Linked DNA regions of Sus scrofa. The protein of the gene in region 2 purifies or fractionates together with the protein of the main gene of each other region. This does not show direct contact. Links are inferred from orthologs where the notes say so. Each region holds a gene or a part of one and is shown on either strand. Other genes may lie near its edges.

Evidence for each region. Proteins that work in one complex are often made in the same cells at the same time.
Region 1: the proteins of STK40 (region 2) and TRIB1 purify together in Homo sapiens (affinity purification with mass spectrometry; 3 studies listed by BioGRID and IntAct, counting the BioPlex papers as one, with this or other methods). This does not show direct contact. The link is inferred for Sus scrofa from reciprocal best matches to the Homo sapiens genes STK40 and TRIB1.

What each region holds. Positions count from the first base shown.
Region 1 is NC_010446.5:14,293,271-14,303,123, reverse strand, and holds the start of TRIB1 (tribbles homolog 1), read left to right. Parts: upstream 1-5,004; 5' UTR 5,005-5,958; coding exon 5,959-6,318; intron 6,319-6,340; exon of another isoform or gene 6,341-7,704; coding exon of another isoform or gene 7,705-7,782; intron 7,783-7,807; exon of another isoform or gene 7,808-8,082; coding exon of another isoform or gene 8,083-8,085; intron 8,086-8,306; coding exon 8,307-8,599; intron 8,600-9,853. UniProt on the Homo sapiens protein: Adapter protein involved in protein degradation by interacting with COP1 ubiquitin ligase. The COP1-binding motif is masked by autoinhibitory interactions with the protein kinase domain.
Region 2 is NC_010448.4:92,450,732-92,460,029, forward strand, and holds part of STK40 (serine/threonine-protein kinase 40), read right to left. Parts: intron 8,464-9,298; coding exon 8,378-8,463; intron 8,078-8,377; coding exon 7,934-8,077; intron 5,175-7,933; coding exon 4,947-5,174; intron 4,223-4,946; coding exon 4,170-4,222; intron 1-4,169. UniProt on the Homo sapiens protein: May be a negative regulator of NF-kappa-B and p53-mediated gene transcription.

The DNA.
Region 1 (9,853 bases), on a different chromosome or scaffold from region 2:
ACTTTAGAACAGGTAGGATGCTCAGAACCCTTCTAATGGTGCTGCCAGGAACCTACCTGAGCAGGAATGAAAATGAATCAAGCTTGAGCTCATCAATAGCCCAACCTTGTCCAAAAAATTCAATATAGCTCTTCCCACATTACGTAATATGTGATTTCCTGAGAAGCTGGAGGTCAATCCATTCTTTTCCCTAGTTCAACATGTGTTGAGCATCCGGTGTCAGCTCAGCATTGTGCTGAGGCTACAAAGGACACACACACACACACACACACACACACACACACACACACACACTGCAGGATGCACAACCTCGAATCTTGTTTTCAAGGTTCTTACATTTTTCCCAAGCTACATCATAAATGTGCCAAAGGAGCTTGCTAATGCCATCACCATGGCTCAGGAGACACTTCTACAATGCAAACAGCCCTTTTAACACAGAGTCACTTCCTAATTCATATCCTATTTACTTATATCTTTGTCAAATTGGATTTTCAAGGACTTTTTCAGCTCTGGCATGTGGCAAGTCTATAATTAATATTTATTGACTAAATGAACATAGTTCAAAATCAAGGCATATTTGGGAGTTCCCATTGTGGCTCAGGGGCTTAAGACCTGCACTAGTATCCATGAAGACTGGGGTTTGATCCCTGGCCTCACTCAGTGGATTAAGGATCTGGTGTTGCCATGAGATGGAGCTGCTATGTAAGTCACAGGCTTGTCTCAGACCTGGCATTGCTGTGGCTGTGGTATAGGCCGGCAGCTGCAGCTCTGATTCAACCCCTAGCCTGAGAACTTCCATATGCCGCGGGTGCAGCCCTATGAAGGAAAAAAATGAAGGCATATTCATATCTGATAAGCACATTTGCGTGTGAGCAGATAATTCAAAAGGACTTTTCACATGTTTGTAGCTATTAGTTTCCATAAGAATCTTGTGGGGGAAGAAAACAGGGCTTCATTATACCTATTTCACAGGTGAGACAATTGAGGCCTCTAAAGAACAACTGGCTTCCTCACTTCAGTATCTGAAAAGTCTGATGGCAGTCCAGATGTTGCCAGCAGGGAAACCCCCAGCAATGAAATCAAGACAATTTTAGCTCACATGTCCTCTTGGCTGATCTGATCTCAGGCCTTGCCAAAAAAACATGTCCATTTTCCCAGGCATCCAGGATGGAGGCCCCCAAAGTTTCTGCCCCTTCTTTCTCTGTATGCTGGTGCCTTCCAGGGCTATAGACATTCAAGTCTGAAATCTGTGCCCTGTCCTCCAGGCCCCTGTCATCGCCCAAATGTCTGTTCTCCTTCCCTGCCTCTCATCTCAGGCTCTCCTTGGGAGTGACCCTCTGCCCCTGAGTATATTTATTTGGTCGATACTCACTAAGCCCCAACTTCGTAACAGTCACTGGGCTGGGAACTGAAGACACGAGGTGAGTAAGACATGGCACCTGCCCTCTGGCACACAGCTGAGCGGACAGGGCCATGAGAGAAATCTAGATGGAGGCTTCAACAGCCCTTGGCAGGACATTTAAATCTGAGTGCAGTGCAGGGGAAATCTGACTGGTGTTTGGAAGGATGAATAGGAGTTCATCAGGTTGGCAGGGGTGGGGTGGGAATTCCAGCAGGGGAAAAAGCCCATCAAAAATGACGAGGTGCGGAGTTCCCGTCGTGGCTCAGTGGTTAACAAATCTGGCTAGGAACCATGAGGTTTTGGGTTCGATCCCTGGCCTTGCTCAGTGGGTCAAGGATCTGGCATTGCCATGAGCTGTGGTGTAGGTCACAGATGCGGCTCGGATCCCCACGTTGCAGTGGCTGTGGTGTAGGCCGGTGGCTACAGCTCCGATTAGACCCCCAGCCTGGGAACCTCCATATGCCGCAGAAGCAGCCCTGGAAATGGCAAAAAGACAAAAAAAAAAAAAAAAAAATTCGAGGTGTGAATTGGCAAGATGTGTTTGGGGCCCCACCAGGAGCTGGCATGGGTGGGGTGCTGGCAAGGAGACAAGAAAGCTGAGGGTGGAAAGAGAAGTTTGGATGTTATCCGAGGGTCCCTGCAAGGTTTTTAGGCCAGGGCCCGAGATGATCAAATTTCAATGTTAGAAAAAGGACTCTGATGGCTGTGTGGGGAATGGATTGAGGGAGCTCAAGCACACATTTTGTGTAGTCACCGTTACATCTCGGGCGCCTCCCAGGAACACAGGCAGAGGAGGTGCTCGGGGTATGCGGCAGGGATGAGGGAGTGACCCCATTAGGAGTTTACTACAGAAATCCAGGAGCAAAAGTGCAGGGCTTATATCAGTCAGGAAAACAGAACCCAGGCCGGGAAATTCAATGGGAAGAATTAAAGCAGGGAGCCAGTTACAAAGGTCTGGGAAGAACAGAAGCCAAAGAGAGCAAAACAACACGGTAGGGGGGTAGTCCAGAGATTAGCAGCTGGAAGCTACTTCTACCCTAGGGCTGGAGGGACAAAAGCGGTGGGTGTCACTTCTTCCCTGGAGCCAGAGTGCCTTGAGAGAGCCGGGACGAAGGAGGAGGAAAGGGGAGGGCGGGTCTCCCAGGAAGTGGACTCCGATGGAGATTAGCACGCAGGTTTATTAAGGAATGCTTTTGGAAGGGGAGGAAAGGAACACGACAGGGCTGGATGCAATCTCCAGAAAGAATTCAGATGACCCTAAATTGCCGGGCTGAAGCTGGGATGCCCTTCAGAGGGGGCTCAAATTGAGGCAAGGAGGCTGAACCTGTGTACTCCACAGTCACTTGTCATTGGATGTGGACCTCCTGGGAAAGGAGTGTGAACTTGAACAAGGCAGCCTTTCTCAGTCCAGGCGGTTTCCAAAATGGATTTACAAAAGGCAGCCAGGGGAGTGGAAGGTGGGGTGGGCATGGGTGGATAATTCCTTCTATCCAGTAGGAGGATCTGGCAGCCACACAGACGGGCTGTCTGGGGAAGGGGAATGGGGCGGGATAAAGGTCTGGAGCCACAGAAGAGGTGCGGCCATTGTCCCAAGCAGTCCCGTCTCCCTCCAGGGCTTCCCTCTGGGCAAAATGGGCTGCAAGCCAGTGGCCAAGGGAGCTTGAGACATAGTCTGCAAGGAGAGTTAGGAGGGGAGGGCAGGGGATGGCTCTGAGAGCAAGCAGATCTAGGATGGACCCAGGGACAACCCAGTGGGGGACAGGAAAAAGGCGGATTCATGAGGAAATCGCTGCTAAAGATTCTGGACCCGGGGGTGGCGATGCCTTTCTCTTCGAAGAGGCAGGAAAGGGGGTGTGCACTTCGAGGAAGATGCTGATGGTCCACGCTGAGTTTGCCATCCTAGTGCAGATGCTAAGCTGGCAGCTCAGTGGGTCTTGAATAGCTGGCACAAAATCAATGTGAAAGAGAGAAAATCAGGGCTCTCTCCCAGTTATAAGACCAAGTGCATCCTCCTCAGCCAGAATTGGAGCTCTTCTTGTTTTCCCCAAGGACTTCTGCAGGCTCAGCTCCACCTGGGCAGGCACTCTGGCCTCTAAAGTTCCCCACTTCCTTGCTCTCTTCTCCCCCCACCCCCCCCCGCAACTTCTTACAGCCCCACACATGCCCCCAGGTCAACCGCTTCTAGATGGAATCCTCCCTAACCCCTCTCTTCCCTCTGCAAATTGTAATCTGTTTTTTGAGTACCCACAAGTGCTTAAGAGCTTGAATGCTCCACCTTTTAGTAGTGATTTGATCACAGCAAGTAACTTCGTCTTTGCAGGCTTCTCCCTCTTGAAAAGGGGCAAAAAATAACCCAACGGGGTGGCTGTAAGACTGCAGTGACTATGTGTAAAGTGCTAAGAACTGTGCCTGGCATTTTACAGACCTCAATTAACGTTAGCTATTATTATTTTAATGCTCAATCTTCTAATCCCCAGCGTCTAGCTCTTACTAGATGCTTCATTAGTATTTGCTGAATGAATGGAGATTTAATATGGAAAAAATTTATCCTTGGGGCTCGACCTGGTTTTAGAAAATGAAATTTTTAGTACAAGGGCAGAAGGGATTCTGATAATAGCTATGTACGCTGGGTGTCCAGGGACTCCAAATCGACCTGGTTCTTGAAAGAAAGAAAAACGATAGATTCTAGGTTGCTTTTTCATGGAGCTTTGTGCAGCGTCTGACACACATTTCGCGCTCACCGCAATCACGTTGCACGAGTGCACGCACACGCCCTGGCAGGGCTGCCCGGGTGTAGGAAGTATCACTGTCGGTGGCAGAATGACTCCCACTCCGCTACCCGGCCACCACGGAACTGGGCTGGGCTGGCCCCGGGGCCCCAGACCCTGCAGGGCGTGTGGAGGCCGGGGAGGGGGCTAGAATCCAGCGGCGGCCACGTGGGCCCCTTCCGCCCTCTCCCCACATCCTTTGTTTCCCACCGGCCCCGGCTCAGGAAGCTCTTTCTGCGAGTCACCGCGAAGGGGCGGCCGGGGAGCCTGGAGAAGCTATTTCCGTGCAATCCCGGCGGGCGGCAGGCGCGGGAGGGGCGTGGAGGTGGAGGCAGCGCAGAAGGCCCAGTGTTTGCTTTTATTTCATCCAACAGAAGGTTCTATTTGTGGAAGCGAACAGACGCTGGGGATTAGAGCTGGGAGGGGGCAGGAAAAGGAAAAAAAAAAAAACAAAAAACCACATCCACAACCACGCATAGGTCTTCCCCGGAACTACCGCGTGGGGGTGAATGAGTGATTCTGGAATTCATCACCTTCTCTCTCTTCCTTTCCGCCGACTACCGCCGGGCCTCGCGACGCCCACGGCTCCAACCGGAGGTCCCAGGGCGCGGGGCGGTCGGTTGCGGGGGGAGATCCCCAGGGCAAAAGGCGTCACCGCGCGGCTGCAGCGAGCAGCGGGTGCAGCGAGCCTTGGTGCGCGCGCCCGCAGTCCATTGTGCTCGGTGTGAATGGGGAGCGCGCACCAATCAGCGGTCGCTTCGCCCCCCACGGCCCCACCCCTCCCGCCCACTTCCCGGGGACCCTGACGTCACGGGAACTTTTCCTCCACCCCCTCCTCCAGCTTCTAGCTTTGAGCCCGCTGCCTGCCGGAGGGCGCGCGCCGCCTCCTGCTTAGCCCAGCCCGGGGGGCGTGTGCGCGCGCCCCAGCCAGCTCGGGACACACCACCTGCGCCAGAGCGCGCGCTGCCCGGAGCATCCCAGCCCTCGGGCCACCCCCATCGCCCCCGCCGACCCAGCTCCTCCTCCCTCCTCCCAGCCTCCCCCCCCCCTCTCCGGTGACTGCTCGCCCAGCGGCAGGGCCCGAGTCGTCGCAGCCACCTCATTGCACAACCCGGCTTCCCAACTGTTTACACAGCCCGGCCTGTGAGTGTATGTGTGTATACAGCGTGAGTCACCGGGAGGCGGAGGAGGTGGAGGAAAAGGAGAAGGAGGAGTGCACTGGCCAGGATCGGTGCTGCGCACACACTCACTCACTCACACTCAGTCACTCTCTCTGAGCGCGTCTCGCTCGGGCACACTCACGCCGGGAGCCCGGAGCGCGCAGGATCCCGAGCGCCGCGGAAAAGTTGCTCCGGCTTTGGCCCCGAGACTTATTGCTTTGGGAAGTGCATTTGCTCCGTGGCTCCGCCGAGCCTGCGGAATCCTGTACTCGCTGTTTCGGACCTCGGTAAGGCCAGCCACCGCCACCTCTGCCTCCCTGACTGTCGGCAGCCTCGACAACAATAGCGGCGGCCGCCCCCTGCCAGGTGCCCGGAGCCGATACCGCGGGGGTCTGAGGACCCGAGCCGGCCTCCCACCCCGGGACGCGCAGCCACGGTGGTTCTCGCGTGTACCGCCAGCGCCGGGGAGAGGCTCCGGCTTTGCCCCCCGTGGGGGCCGAACCAAGCTCCGTCTGCAAACTCCATCCTGCGGGCTGGAATACGTCGCGGCGCCGGCGCCGACCCCGTCGCGCCTTCCCGCGCCGATCCGAGGACGTACAAAGCCGGGGCCGTCCCGGCGCCGGACGGGATGCGGGTCGGTCCCGTGCGCTCTGCTATGAGCGGCGTCTCGCAGCCCCGAGCCCCGGCCTTGCTGCTCCCGGCCGGCCGGGGCGCTCCTGCCAAACGCCTGCTGGACGCGGACGACGCGGCGGCGGTGGCGGCCAAGTGCCCACGTCTCTCCGAGTGCTCAAACCCTCCGGACTACCTCAGCCCCCCTGGCTCTCCCTGCAGCCCGCAGCCTCCGCCCGCCGCGCCCGGGGCTGGCGGCGGCTCCGGGAGCGCGCCGGGGCCCAGCCGCATCGCCGACTACCTGCTGCTGCCCCTGGCCGAGCGCGAACATGTGTCCCGGGCGCTGTGCATCCACACGGGCCGCGAGCTGCGCTGCAAGGTAGGCACCCGGAGGCCGAGGCCGAGCGGAGGTCGCGGGGTGGGGAGACACGGTGGCAGCAGAGTTATTTGGGGTTTCCTCAGACGACGCCCGGGGGCCGAAGGTGCCACCAGCGCTTGGGCTTAGGGCAAGGCGGATAAGTGTGTTTGAGTCCGGCAAGGTAGCATTGGACCGGGTTCACTATAAGGGATTGAGGGGTTCGGATGGAGTGGTATAATGGGGTCTTGGCGGTCAAGAGGAAGTGCGGTCCTCAGTTTTTTTTCTCTATGATTTCCTTAATGCCCAGTTTAGCGTGTGGCGTTCCACATAAGTTGTGGAATTGGTGGAATTGAAATGGATTCCAGGGCCATGCCTTTCCCCTTTTCTCATTCTCCTCGCTTCCCACTCCCTCCCCCCGCCCCTTGTTCTGGAGGGACGCCCTGCAGTGGGTTCCTCCTTGGAGCTTGGAGCAGCTGGCAGCTCTCTTGCTGGGGCTGCGAGGCATCCTGGCTCAGCTGCGGGTGATAGGGGGGCGGGCAGCCCGTGTCGGGCTCGGGTCTTGGGAATTCCGGTTGGAACCTGCGCTGGGACAGGGACCCTGTCCTCCCCGAGAGCAGTCTGAGGGGACCTTCCAATCAGGGCGGGGGAACTTGACGGGAGGAGGAGTGTTGGAAAGCCTACACTGGCTAGGAACCCTGGTATCCATTCGTGTCTTGATTTTCCGGCCAGCGATTTTCTTTTGAACATTAGGGATTCCATCCAGGAGATACAACTCCTGGAAACAGGATCCTGCGCGCGCTCCTCCTGCGCCCACAGACGCAGAACAGTCCCACAGTCCATCTACGCTTTGCGAGCTGCACGCCCGGGCCTCACACATCCCCGAGAACCCTCCAGGCTGCTCCTTTTTACCTGAAAGATAGGATCACCCCTCAGTTCAAGTCGCTCTTGGGTTTTCCGCGACTCACCTGACCCTCACCTTCCCGTCCCTGGGCTCGCTGCTGCCACCTACTGTCCGACCCGAACGAAACTTCAAAGGCATAATCGAGCCCGGTTGAAAGGGGGGAAAAATCTTTTCTTCTGGGTCGCTGGGGCTGTGAACTGTTTTGGGAAGAGAATGAGTGTGGGTTGGGGTGGGAGGAAGGGGGCAGCAGAGAGATTTCTGGAGCTGGTTCCAGAGCAGTCAGGCCTCAGAGGTGGGGTGGGTCTGGTCATTGTGCAACCCCTTCCAGTTCCTCCCAGCAGATAATAGCTGAATCCAGATGGTGACAGCCCGTGTGTCACCGTTTCCAGTCGAGTCTAGGATATGAGTAACCGGACTAAACAAAAGGCCCTTAAAGAGACCAGCCAGCTTCTTAGAGGAGATGCTGCCCATTTCCGGGGTGAAGGGGGGAGGGGAGAGATAAATAAATGAAAAAAACCCCGGAGAGAATCGTATGGTCCTGTGGGAATTTTAACTCAAGAGTACATCTCCCTGAGCCTCAGCAGGTTGCTTAGGGCTGTGTTGACAGTCAGTCCCTCTTTCTTTCTCTCTGGGAGTCATCTGTTCCTCTGTCTGATGGCAGAGCTGCATGTTCTTTAGCCCGTGCTTCCACTTGGAGGCTGCGGAGTCGTACATTTCCAGGGCTCCTGGAGATCCCTGGGGGACCTCTAGCAGTCACTTTGCCTAGCATTACCTGCCGATAAGGAAGGGCCACAGAGGATGGTGACGAAGGAGCTTAGTTAGCTCTTTGGAGCTGGTGGCCTCAGGGGAAGCCATACATAGAAGACTTCTTTCCAACCATCCATATGGTAGCTCTTTGGATATTTGCTCAACCAGAGCCCAAGATGCTCCTGGTTCTCGGTGCTGGGGGCTGCATCAGTTGGGGTTGCTGAGCTAAGGGGGTGGAGGGGAAATGAATGGAGCCTTGCTTCCATCAAAGCCTGGAGAGGGAGAACTGCAGCCCAGCCCAGGATCTGGGAGGCAGCCTCTGCTTTTCTAGCCTCCTAAGTGGGTCACCTTCTCTCTGCAGGTGTTTCCCATTAAACACTACCAGGACAAAATCCGGCCTTACATCCAGCTGCCATCACACAGGAACATCACTGGCATCGTGGAAGTGATCCTCGGGGAAACCAAGGCCTATGTCTTCTTTGAAAGGGACTTTGGGGACATGCACTCCTATGTGCGCAGCCGGAAGAGGCTGCGGGAGGAGGAGGCCGCCCGGCTCTTCAAGCAGATCGTCTCTGCCGTTGCCCACTGCCACCAGTCGGCCATCGTGCTGGGGGACCTGAAGCTTAGGAAATTTGTCTTCTCCACGGAGGAGAGGTGAGCGGCCCCCACAGCCCCTCCTCTGCCTTTTGGGCACCAAAACGAAGGTGGTAGAGCCATTAGGTGCAGTGTGTTGGTTCAAACACCACCAAGCTCTCAGCTGTCCCAGAGTTAGTATTTAGGGGTCCCCTCCTGAGGAGCCAAGGCCAAGGTTGGTTATGCGGCCCCCTTGTGGATGTGGCGTGGGGACCCCTTGGTGCATCTGGGGGATGTCACATGATGACAGGATGCCCTCCCCACTTCTACCCGGGATCCGTTTTATCACATTGTCATCAGAAAGGTCAGCTCTTCTGGGGTACAGATGTCAACCTGCATCATTCCTAGAGGACATCTTCGAATCCTTGTTTATACTGAGCGGGTTTGTTTCGTTCTGTGTGTTTGGCTTTTGTACCCAGTAAATATCACAGAGCTAGTCAGCCTGTTGTATTTGCAGAATTCCGTCTCCTTCCTTCACTCCGCACTCCTGTTCCATGTCAGGCCTGCCCCCCCCATATTTTCTCCACGTTCTCTAGTGACTTTTTAGACATCTTGTTTGGCTCCATCTTCAGAAAATAGCTACACTGAATAATAAATGGAAGTTGGCTGGAATTGGTTGCTAAATATAGATCCTGACTTACCTCATAAAGAACAAGATGAGCTCGATAAGACAATAATGAGACATTAAGATTCAGAGCTGAGGTTTCAGACAAGAGAATTCAGGAAGCCGCAGGAGATAAACCTTACCTGATTTTAAGAGGTGGGGCCACATCCCTAGTGGAAAGATTAAAAAGCAATACTATTGTATGATTGCAGAGGTGGGTGGGTGTTATTTTGTGGTAGCCATGCAAGCAGGGCTCACTCCACCTGTGCCTTTTTTACCCTGAAGTTATTCAGGCCCTGTGAAAAAGGGCAGGGTTGAGTTGCCAGAAAGCAAGGCTTTGTGCCTGACCTTGCATAAGTATTAGAACACACTGATTAGCAAAGAAAAGCAAAGTATTGGCAATGAAGAAGTTTCCAATTCCTGGAACACACTCTTAGATATGGTGATGTATTTTCTGAAACATGCCTTACACACCTCCTTGCTGACTTTTGAAATCCGCATTGCACAGGCAGATGTCATGTGCATGGCGTTTGGCAACCCGAGGGTTAAGCAATGGCAGGCTGACGCTATTCGTGTAACCAGCACAGGTGCAGGGTTTTAGTACTACAGCAGCCAATCAGCGGCAGACAGTGTGGGTTGAGTCATATTTTCCGTTTACAGAACCAATGGGT
Region 2 (9,298 bases):
GTACACCACCCCTGGATGTGGACGAGCTGGGGTGCAGAGCTTCCTTGGCCTGGGGGGAGCAGGGAGGAAGGGCACCTCCCCACCCAAAGGTGAGCCGGGCCACCTGCCAGGCTCCGGGGTTGGCCAGCTGAGCAGAGAAGGTGAGGAGGACGGCAGGAAGGGAGGCCCCACCAGGGCCCCGGGTGGCCTCTCCCTAGAAGAGCCTCCAGGGTGGGAAGGAGGTCGGCTCAGAGGCACACGTGTGCGGGGCTGCGTTCAAGAGGCTCCAAGAGCCCTTGAGCCTTCTTGGGGAATTCTGTTGGCAAAGGCTTGGGGCAAAACAAAGGCCAGTCTGTCCTCGGTGTTCCAAACGGAAACGCTGACTCTCGCTCTCCGAACAGGCCTGCCCTGACACATGCCACAGAAACCTGCCTGGTGGCCCCTGGACTGGCTGGAGCCTGAGAGCACAGGCGAAGGGTCTTGACCAAGGATCGTGTCAAGAAGTGGCCTGCTCCCGCTTAGCACCACCTGCGTCACTGTCCCGAGCACAGGACTGCTCAAGCCCCTCGTCCGCCAGGGCCGCCCACAGCAGACACACCGTGTTTTTCCCCTGGTCAGAGCTGGAGACACTGCGAGGTCAGCTCGGGAGGGTCCAGCAGGGCTGGGAGTCAGATCCTGGGTTCTAGTCCTGGCTCTGCCCCTTCCTGGCTGTGATCTTGGTCATGCGAGTTAATTTCTTGCTAACCCTCAATTTCCTCATGCGCAGAACAGGGAAAATATTAGCACCTAAGTCCCAGGGCTGTTAGGATTTAACGAGATAAGAAGATAATCCCAGGGAAAGCCCTGAATCCAGGACCTGGCAGACAGGGACTGGTTACCAACTGCTTGCTCAGATGGGACCTCCTCAGACAGTGGGCACAGCTGGCAGAGGTTACCATCTGAGACCCCAGGGAAGGCAGCACCCCCAGGCGGGGGGTGAGAGGAGCCACACGGTGACGACAGGCCTGGAACGCACGTGCCAGTGCGGCGGGCTCTCCACTCCGCCCTGCCAGCAGGGCTTGCCAGCCGCCTGCATGTGGGGCTCAAGGAAAGCTCGGCGCGACGCAGCAGGGCCGAGCTGGAGCCTCTCCCACAGGAAACCGCACAGGCAGCTCTGAGTCCTCCCAAAGCCTGGTGATGCTCCCCGCCCTGCCACCATCACCCCAGACCCCTCAGGCGCGTCCTGGCAGGAGGGACGCGGGCAGCAGGGATGAAGGGGGGAGTCCCGTGTCAGCATGACCTGCTGGGAGTCACTCCAGCTGTGGCCCTCAGGCTACCGCAGCGTGGTGTCCTTTTCTAGGAACTGGGTGTGCGACATGCCCACCTGGAAAGAAAGGAGGACGGCAAAGAGCCCGCAGCAAGCCTCATGGAGTCCCAAAAGGGGATTTCAGATGGCAACCCTGCCCTCTCTCCACAGCAGGGGGACTGGTACCACAGCTGCCCGAGAGCCCTTCTCCCCATTTCCTCTGCTGTGCTGGGGGCCTCCAGCTTGTCACTGTTTCTCCAGCTGGAGTGAGGGCTGGCCTGCTGGGCAGGAAGGGGCTGGAGCTCCTCCAGGTCCACCTTTGACTTCCCAAGGATGAAAGGGAGGCCCCAAAGGGGGAAGGGAAACTCAGAGAAGTGCATGGTACCACAGCAGAGACACAGGAACGGGCCCTGGGCACTTAGCGTGGTTTCTGCAGCACAAGCTCTGCCTTCCAGGCACCCAGGCCTCACATGAGAGGTGCCCAGAACCTCTGACTGACCAAAGCACAGGAAAGGGATTACTGGATTAAACAACTGTATAACTGAGACACTCGAGCGCAGCGCGCGCATGCGCACACACACACACACACACACACACACACACACGAGCTGCTATAGCTACACTGGCCTTACTCAAGGGAGATGTGACCTGAGGACATTTCCAGAACCAAGGGCCTGGAGAAGTGGGAGCAGAAGCTAAGCCACCAAGCAGACAAAGAGGCCTGAGCTGCTGGCCTGGTTAGCAGCACAGGAGCCCCTGACATCACGTGCCCATAAACACCTTCGGGATGCTCACCTTGAGCCAATAAAGGGCTGCGTGGAAGGCTGGGAGGACACGACTTCTGCAGCCAGATGGACTTAAGTGTTCAAAGCGTATGCCCTCTTTGTGAAGACTGAGCCTGCGGCTCAGAGTGGGATGCAGGAACGTCCCACAGAAGGCCAGGAGCCGAGTCTCCTGATGCCAAGACAATGGGCTCTCAGGGCTGGGAAGCTCTGCATTCTCCAACACCTGCCCTCCTGGGGCCGGGGCATGGGGGACCTTGCCACTGGCATCCTCATCAGCCACCCATCACACAGTGGGCCTCACCTCCAGAGGGAGCAAGCGTACAGGCCCCCCAGGCCCCAGCTGGTCTAGCACGAGACTGCACTTTCGGGGGGCCAAACCCTGCCAGGCAGTCTCAGGTCTTGGGCCGGTCTCTGCAGGGAGGAATAATCACCTCCACTTCCACGGAAGAGGGCATGGAAACTCGGAGAAGTGCATGGTACCACAGCAGCCTCTCAATACACAAGTGACTTAATCCATGGGCGAATAATCAAATGAATGAGCCCTCCCCGTCTCAAGGGTAATTAGGAGGCAGTGCTGGGCTGTGAGCCAGGTCTGACCCCCAAGACCTGCTCTTCCCAGCTTTGCTCTCTCTCAGCTGGTCAAGGGTTCAAGCAGCCCTGAAACCCTGTTTCCTTCCCTCCTCCCCATGCAGCACTTCAGGACCCAGTTTTTACCACCTCACTTTCTCAGGCTGGCAAACCTTTACTCATGCTTCATGAACTGACACTGCCCCGCTCTGTCCTATGCACACAGGCCCTCCATTAGAGGGTGGTGTCTGCCCTCTGGTTGCCCCCATCAGGCCATGAACTCTGGGGGATTGTCTGCAGCCCCAGTGCCAGGTGAGGCTGGAGACAGGCTGAGCGCTGAGGGGCAGCGGCACCCTCTCGATGGCATCTTGGGGTGGCACTACAAGGCCTGGTGCCCCACGCCCCTCCACAGAGGCCCATCTCCCTGTGGCCACTGTGCCGTTGGCCATTTCATAAGGATAGCGGGCCCAGGGCCCTCCTGGGTAGGCAACCACATTATGGACCAAATCCCCACCACACCTCTTCTGCTATGAGGTGTGTGCTGCCTGCCATCTGCAAGCCCTCCGACCCACTTGAACACCAGGAGGTGAGGGTGAGAGGCTCAGGGAGAGCAGGTGGCAGAGGCCTGGTAGTTCCAGGACCATGTGCACAAAGAACGCTCCCTACTCATCGGTCCTGGGCCCTGGTATGGTTGGTGTCCCTTTGTCAGTGCCCAGATCACTCGGAAGGGCTCTGCTCGGCTTGAGTGGGGTGAGAGTCTGAGGCAGGAGCCTTATGTGATTTCCCTCTGCCACTGGCTCACCAAGGATGCTGGGGTGAGCCACCCAGATCCCCTCTAAGATCGAGTGGCTCTCTCCCTGCTGCCAGGAATGTCAGCATCTGACCACTCATGGCTGCTTCCTCTTCCCGAACATCTTCTTAGCCAAATGAAGCTGCCCTGACCAATCCTGTGCCCCTGGGCACAGACTCCACTCAGTGGCTGGTCACAATGAGGGTTCAGGGCCATGAGCCCCCTTGCCTTGATTAGGGACATCTGAAGGGCTACCTGGCTCTCAGGCTTTCCAGGCTGAGGCTCTGTCATGCCCGGCCACAGTTTAGCTTCTCCCTCGGCGCAATCCCGGCTCCTTCTCCCTGAGGGAACGGCCCAGCAAACTTCCTGCACACACATCTCAGAGTCTGTTTCCTGGGAACCTGACCCACGACAAGGCCTCATTTTGCTCATCTGTTATTCTGTCACCCATTGGTCTATTTTTTTATAGTCATTTACTACATATCCACTGGGCATGACAAATGAACAGACCAGGGAGGACCTCTGAAATCCTTCCTACAGCTCTTTCTGTGGCCTTTACGGCCCCTCTTCTTAGCAAGCACCATATTCCCATGTGGCAAGACAGAAGTAGGCATTGCATCCCCCAGCCCCTGGGATTCCTGGGGGAAGTGGGCTGTGTTGAGTCAGAATCCCTGTGGGGATGCTGCAGGGCCCTGGGCAGTTGCAGCATGTAGCCCATCCCAACCCCAAGGTGACATCACAAAAGAAGAAAAGTGAAGTTTACCTCTTATTGAGCACCATGTTTCCAAGTTTCAGGTCTCTGTGCACGATATTTTTCTGGAAAACAACAGGCCCATGGTTTATACTATGGTCAGAGCCAGGGTTGGGCCTGGACTATCAGAAGTGGGCTTTTAGGTGCTGCCTTGTTATGCTTGTGCCTTGATGTGTAAGCCACAGACAGATCAGGACCATTCCTGGGCCTCATTAACCATGTGTACAAATTGGGTGACATTGTTTTCTCCCCTCAGGGCAGCCAAAAAACCACTCCTCTCTCTGTCTCCATCAAACATCCCACTGGGGAAACAAAACAAAACAGAACCAAAACCCAAACCAAAACCCTCCAAGATGAATCCTCACGGTTCTGGTGACCAAGTACGGCCAGCTTGGCCTGCAAGGAGCTGTGTGCATGGAGGAGGCCCAGGCTCTCCTAACCCGTGTCTCAGGCTCCTCACACCCCACCCCTAGGAAAGCTCAGAGACAGGCTGTGACCGCCCGCATGGAGAGCTCACAAGTCATCGCCGAGGCTGGGAGACCACAGCGTGGCCTACGGGCTGATGGGGCTTTACGGCACTGGACTCTGCGGGGTGCCCGGCACTGTGGGCCGAGGCCTGCAGCACTGCACCTCAGCGGGTGTGCCTGTCATCCGGCCCTCTTCCTTCTGGACATGCCCAGCTGCAAAGCACACCCAGGGGAGGGCAGGACAGTGCGGTTCTGCTGAGCAGCACGGGAAGGGGGGCGTTCCAGGGCATGGAGGTCAGGATGCCTCTGGGCAGAGCCTCACCTGGTGCAGGGCCTCCACCACGCGCACCACGTCATAGAAGATGACCACGGTCTCGCGCTCGCTGAGCCTCTTCTCCTTGATGACGTAGTGCTGCAGGTTGATCAGGTCGGCGGTCTTGTCGCTGAAGTCGTGAGCGCAGAGGCAGTCGAGGACGAGGCAGATGCGCTTCTTCATCTTCTTAACCATCCGGTTGGATTCTGCATCTTCGACAATTTCACAGGTGCGGTCCTGGGAGGAGGGGGCAGACCGGGGCTCGGCTACAGGCCCAGCAGGGCCAGGGCCTTGGGGCTCCTCTGGAGCTGACCACACAAACCAGTGAGGGAGCCTGGGAAAGCCTGTGTGTGTGGGCGCTGGAGGCCTGAGGCCTGGGCAGCACGGACCATGGGCTGCTCAGCACTCCCCTACCTCCCCTGTGCCAGTGCCAGGCTTGGCCAGGGCTGAGGCTGAAGTAGTTTAGGCTCAGGCTTCATGCTCTGGTCCTAATGCAAAGTGTCTGGATCAGGGCTGGGCACTGGCAGTCAAAGGACCCTGAGCTCAGGGTGCAGGCAGCAGGCCCAGGCCCGGGGCAGCCTCCCCTCCATGGCGCTCCTAGGGTTTCTAGTAATGACCAATGTCCACTTCCTTCCAGTGCCCAAGATGGTGGAAGCCATGTGCCCTGTGTGTCCAGGACAACTGCTTTCACATGGACGGAGGACTCCTGGGCAGCCATGTCACAGCTGGGTGCAGGCCCTGGCTCCACCGTGTCCTAGCCGTGGGACCGGGGCAGCTCACCTAGCCTCTCCAAGTCTCTGGCTCCTTGTCTGTGACAGGGAGCCAGCAACCCCTACCTCACAGGCTGTGGGGAGAAACGCAACCACGCCAAGTACTCGGTCCTGCCCAGCCAGGGCTCCGTAAGCTGGCACTGCAACGAACCCCCAGGTGGGCAGTTCTGGACCCATTTTCCTTGCTGAAAAGGTACTTCCAGTGAGAGAAAACACACGTGCAACACGAGGACTTTTATCCTGCCAGCCTGAGGAGGCCCTCAGTGTCAACCCAGCAGACTAGGAACTCCAGGGGATGAAACATCCACACTGCTCCTTCAGGGCAGGATCCTAACTCTCATCCTCTCTTCCCCAGAGGCCCAGCATCTGGCACACAGAGGACTCTGGAAATACTTCTAAACACTCAGGTTCTCTTATCCAAAATGACCTACACCAGAGTTCCTGTCGTGGTGCAGCGGAAACGAATCCGACTAGGAACCATGAGGTTGCGGGCTTAATCCCTGGCCTTGCTCAGTAGGTTAAGGATTCGGTGTTGCCATGAGCTGTGATGTAGGTCGCAGATGTGGCTCGGATCCAGTGTTGCTGTGGCTGTGGTGTGGGCCGGCAGCCACAGCTCCTACTAGACCCCTAGCCTGGGAATCTACATATGCCGCAGGTATAGCCCTAAAAAGACAAAAGACCAAAACAAACAAACAAACAAAATGACCTACACCAAGGCCTAGCTCTGGAAGCTACCAGAGATGAAACAGGAAATCATGATCACTACCCTCATTTGATCTCATGTTTAAGGAAAACTCTAATTTTCAGAGTTGCCTGCTGATGCTCCGAGTTGGCTCTCATTGCACATCTAAGAATAAAGACTGGAGTTCCCGTCGTGATGCAGCGAAAACAAATCTGACTAGGAACCATGAGGTTGTGGGTTTGATCCCTGGCCTCACTCAGTGGGTTAAGGACCCTGTGTTGCTGTGGCTCTGGTGTAGGCTGGCAGATGTAGCTCCTATTAGACCCCTGGCCTGTGAAACTTCATATGCCGCGGGTGTGGCCCTAAAAAGACAAAACGACCAATAAAGAAAAAATAAGAACTTGGTGGGGTGTATGTGTTGGGGTGAGAAGTATTTTCCACTTATCTTACCTCAAGAAATCAAACTGATAAGGGACAGCTCAGTGCCCTGTTTGTCTGTCCGTCCATCCGTCCATCCATCTATCCATCCATCTTTTTTGGCCACATGCACGGCATATGGAGGTTCCAGGGCTAGAGATCGAATCTGAGCCGCAGTTGTAACCTCTACCACAACTCTAGCAATGCCAGATCCTTAATCCACTGTGCTAGCAGGCTGGGAATCAAACCCATACTACCAGAGAGACAACACCAGATCCTTAACCTGCTGCACCACAGCAGGACCTCCGGCTCAGTGCCTTATAGCCTCTCATTCATTTCCTACCACCTTCTTCCAAGGTAGGCACCATTATCATTATCCCAATTTTGCAGATGAGGAATCTGGGGCTTAGAAACCTGAGTGACTGACTTGCCCAAGGTCACACAACCTGTGTGCCCTTCCTGACACCAGGCTGCCTCTCAAGTACCAGGTTCATCCTAGCATAAGTGGGTCTGGCCAAAGCATCGGGCTGTGGGTGCTGCAAAAGCTCCAAGGGGGGCCTGAACAAGGCGACCCTTCACCCCCAGCATTCTGAACCCAGCTTTTTTTTGTCGAAGATGCAGTTTCAGAACTATCCCCAGGAGGGCTCTTTTTAGAGTACCAGTTACTAATTAGTACCTTTCCTAAGGGACCTGGAACATCCAAGCCCGGGGCTTAGGGATCTTTGCTATGGAAGCTGAAACACCCAGATGGACAGAAGGACTGCTGGTACCAAAAGCAACTGGGAGATCCACAGATGCCCCGGTGCCCAGCCCTCCTCACCGCCCTCCCTTCCACCCTGGCCTGGCCGTTCCTGACAACACAGCTAGAAGGAGCCCATGTGTCTTTAAATAACTTCCTGCTTTCCGCTTTTCTCGGAAAAGCGGCTCCTCAAAGAAAGCCTGCAAGCTGCAAACCGGGTGCATTCCCGCTAGGCTGCCATCATCATAGCAGGCGTGCTGGCCCAGCCTGACCTCCAGCCGACCCACTGGGAAACACCACTGCAGGGAGACAACGGGCAGCGGGGGGGGGGCCTCGCTAGCATGATGCGGGGGTGGGGGGACGACAGGCAGCCCCCTCTGCCACTCACCTGGAAGAGCCCGTGGTGGTGAACCACGCCATCCTGCGTGTGGAGGAGGGAGAGCAGGGAGTACTCAGTGTGTAACAGCATCTTGCCTTGCCTTTCCTCCTGGCTTTCTATCCCTTGGTCGCCCCTCTCCTCAAGGGTGAGGATCTTTAGAAGGCACACACACACAAAAAAAAACAAAACCCCCAGCCCTTAATTTTCCAAGCAGGGTGACCAAAACAGGAGAAGCAGGGGGTCACGTCCTCCCACGCCACCCTGGCACATGTGCCCACACATGCATGGACGAAGTGAAAAGGTCTTTCCCAGCGTAATGGCAATGTGTGTACACACCAACAGCACCCCAGGAAGAAATGGCACTGCTCTTGGTCATGAGAGATGCAGGAGAAGCTGGGAGGAGGGAGGAGCCAAGCTGGCAGGATGGCTCCCCACATCTGGTACCTCACTTACCTTCAGCTGGTAGAAGTCATCTGTGCCATCTTTCCTTGCCAAACACTGGACGATGCTTGGCACCGGTGAGTTGCCCAGACGGGGACCTATGGCACAAAGAGCCACTCGCTTACTTCTCAGGAACCCTGTCTACGGTGGCACTGAGCCGCCATGTGGTCTTTTGGCTAGATCTTCTCTCCTGGAGGGCATATGGTTCACATCCACTGAACTCACAATGTCCCCTCTGAAAATGTAGGGGTACGTGTCCATGTGCCTGAGTACACCCAGCTTTTTTTTTTTTTTTGCTTTGTAGGGCCCCACATGCGGCATATGGAGGTTCCCAGGCTAGGGGTCCAATTGGAGCTGTAGCTGCCAGCCTACACCACAGCCACAGCAACCTGAGATACGAGCTGCGTCTGCAACCTATACCACAGCTCACAGCAATGCCAGATTCTTTTTTTTTTTTGCAGGGATGCTTTTATTTTTTATTTTATTTTATTTTATTTTTTTGTCTTTTTGCCATTTCTCGGGCCGCTCTCGCGGCACATGGAGGTTCCCAGGCTGGAGTCGAATCGGAGCTGTAGCCACCGGCCTACGCCAGAGCCACAGCAATGCCAGATCCGAGCTGCGTCTGCGACCTACACCACAGCTCATGGCAACGCCGGATCATTAACCCACTGAGCAAGGGTAGGGACCGAACCCGCAACCTCATGGTTCCTAGTCAGATTCGTTAACCACTGCGCCATGACGGGAACTCCAGCAATGCCAGATTCTTAACCCACTGAGCGAGGTCAGAGATTGAACCCACAACCTCATGGTTCCTAGTCGGATTCATTTCTGCTGCGCCATGATGGGAACTCCTGTACGCCCAGCTTTTATAGGCACACTTCTCAAGAGGGGCTCTCAGTACTGGGTGTGTGCTGGAATCTCTGAGAAACATGT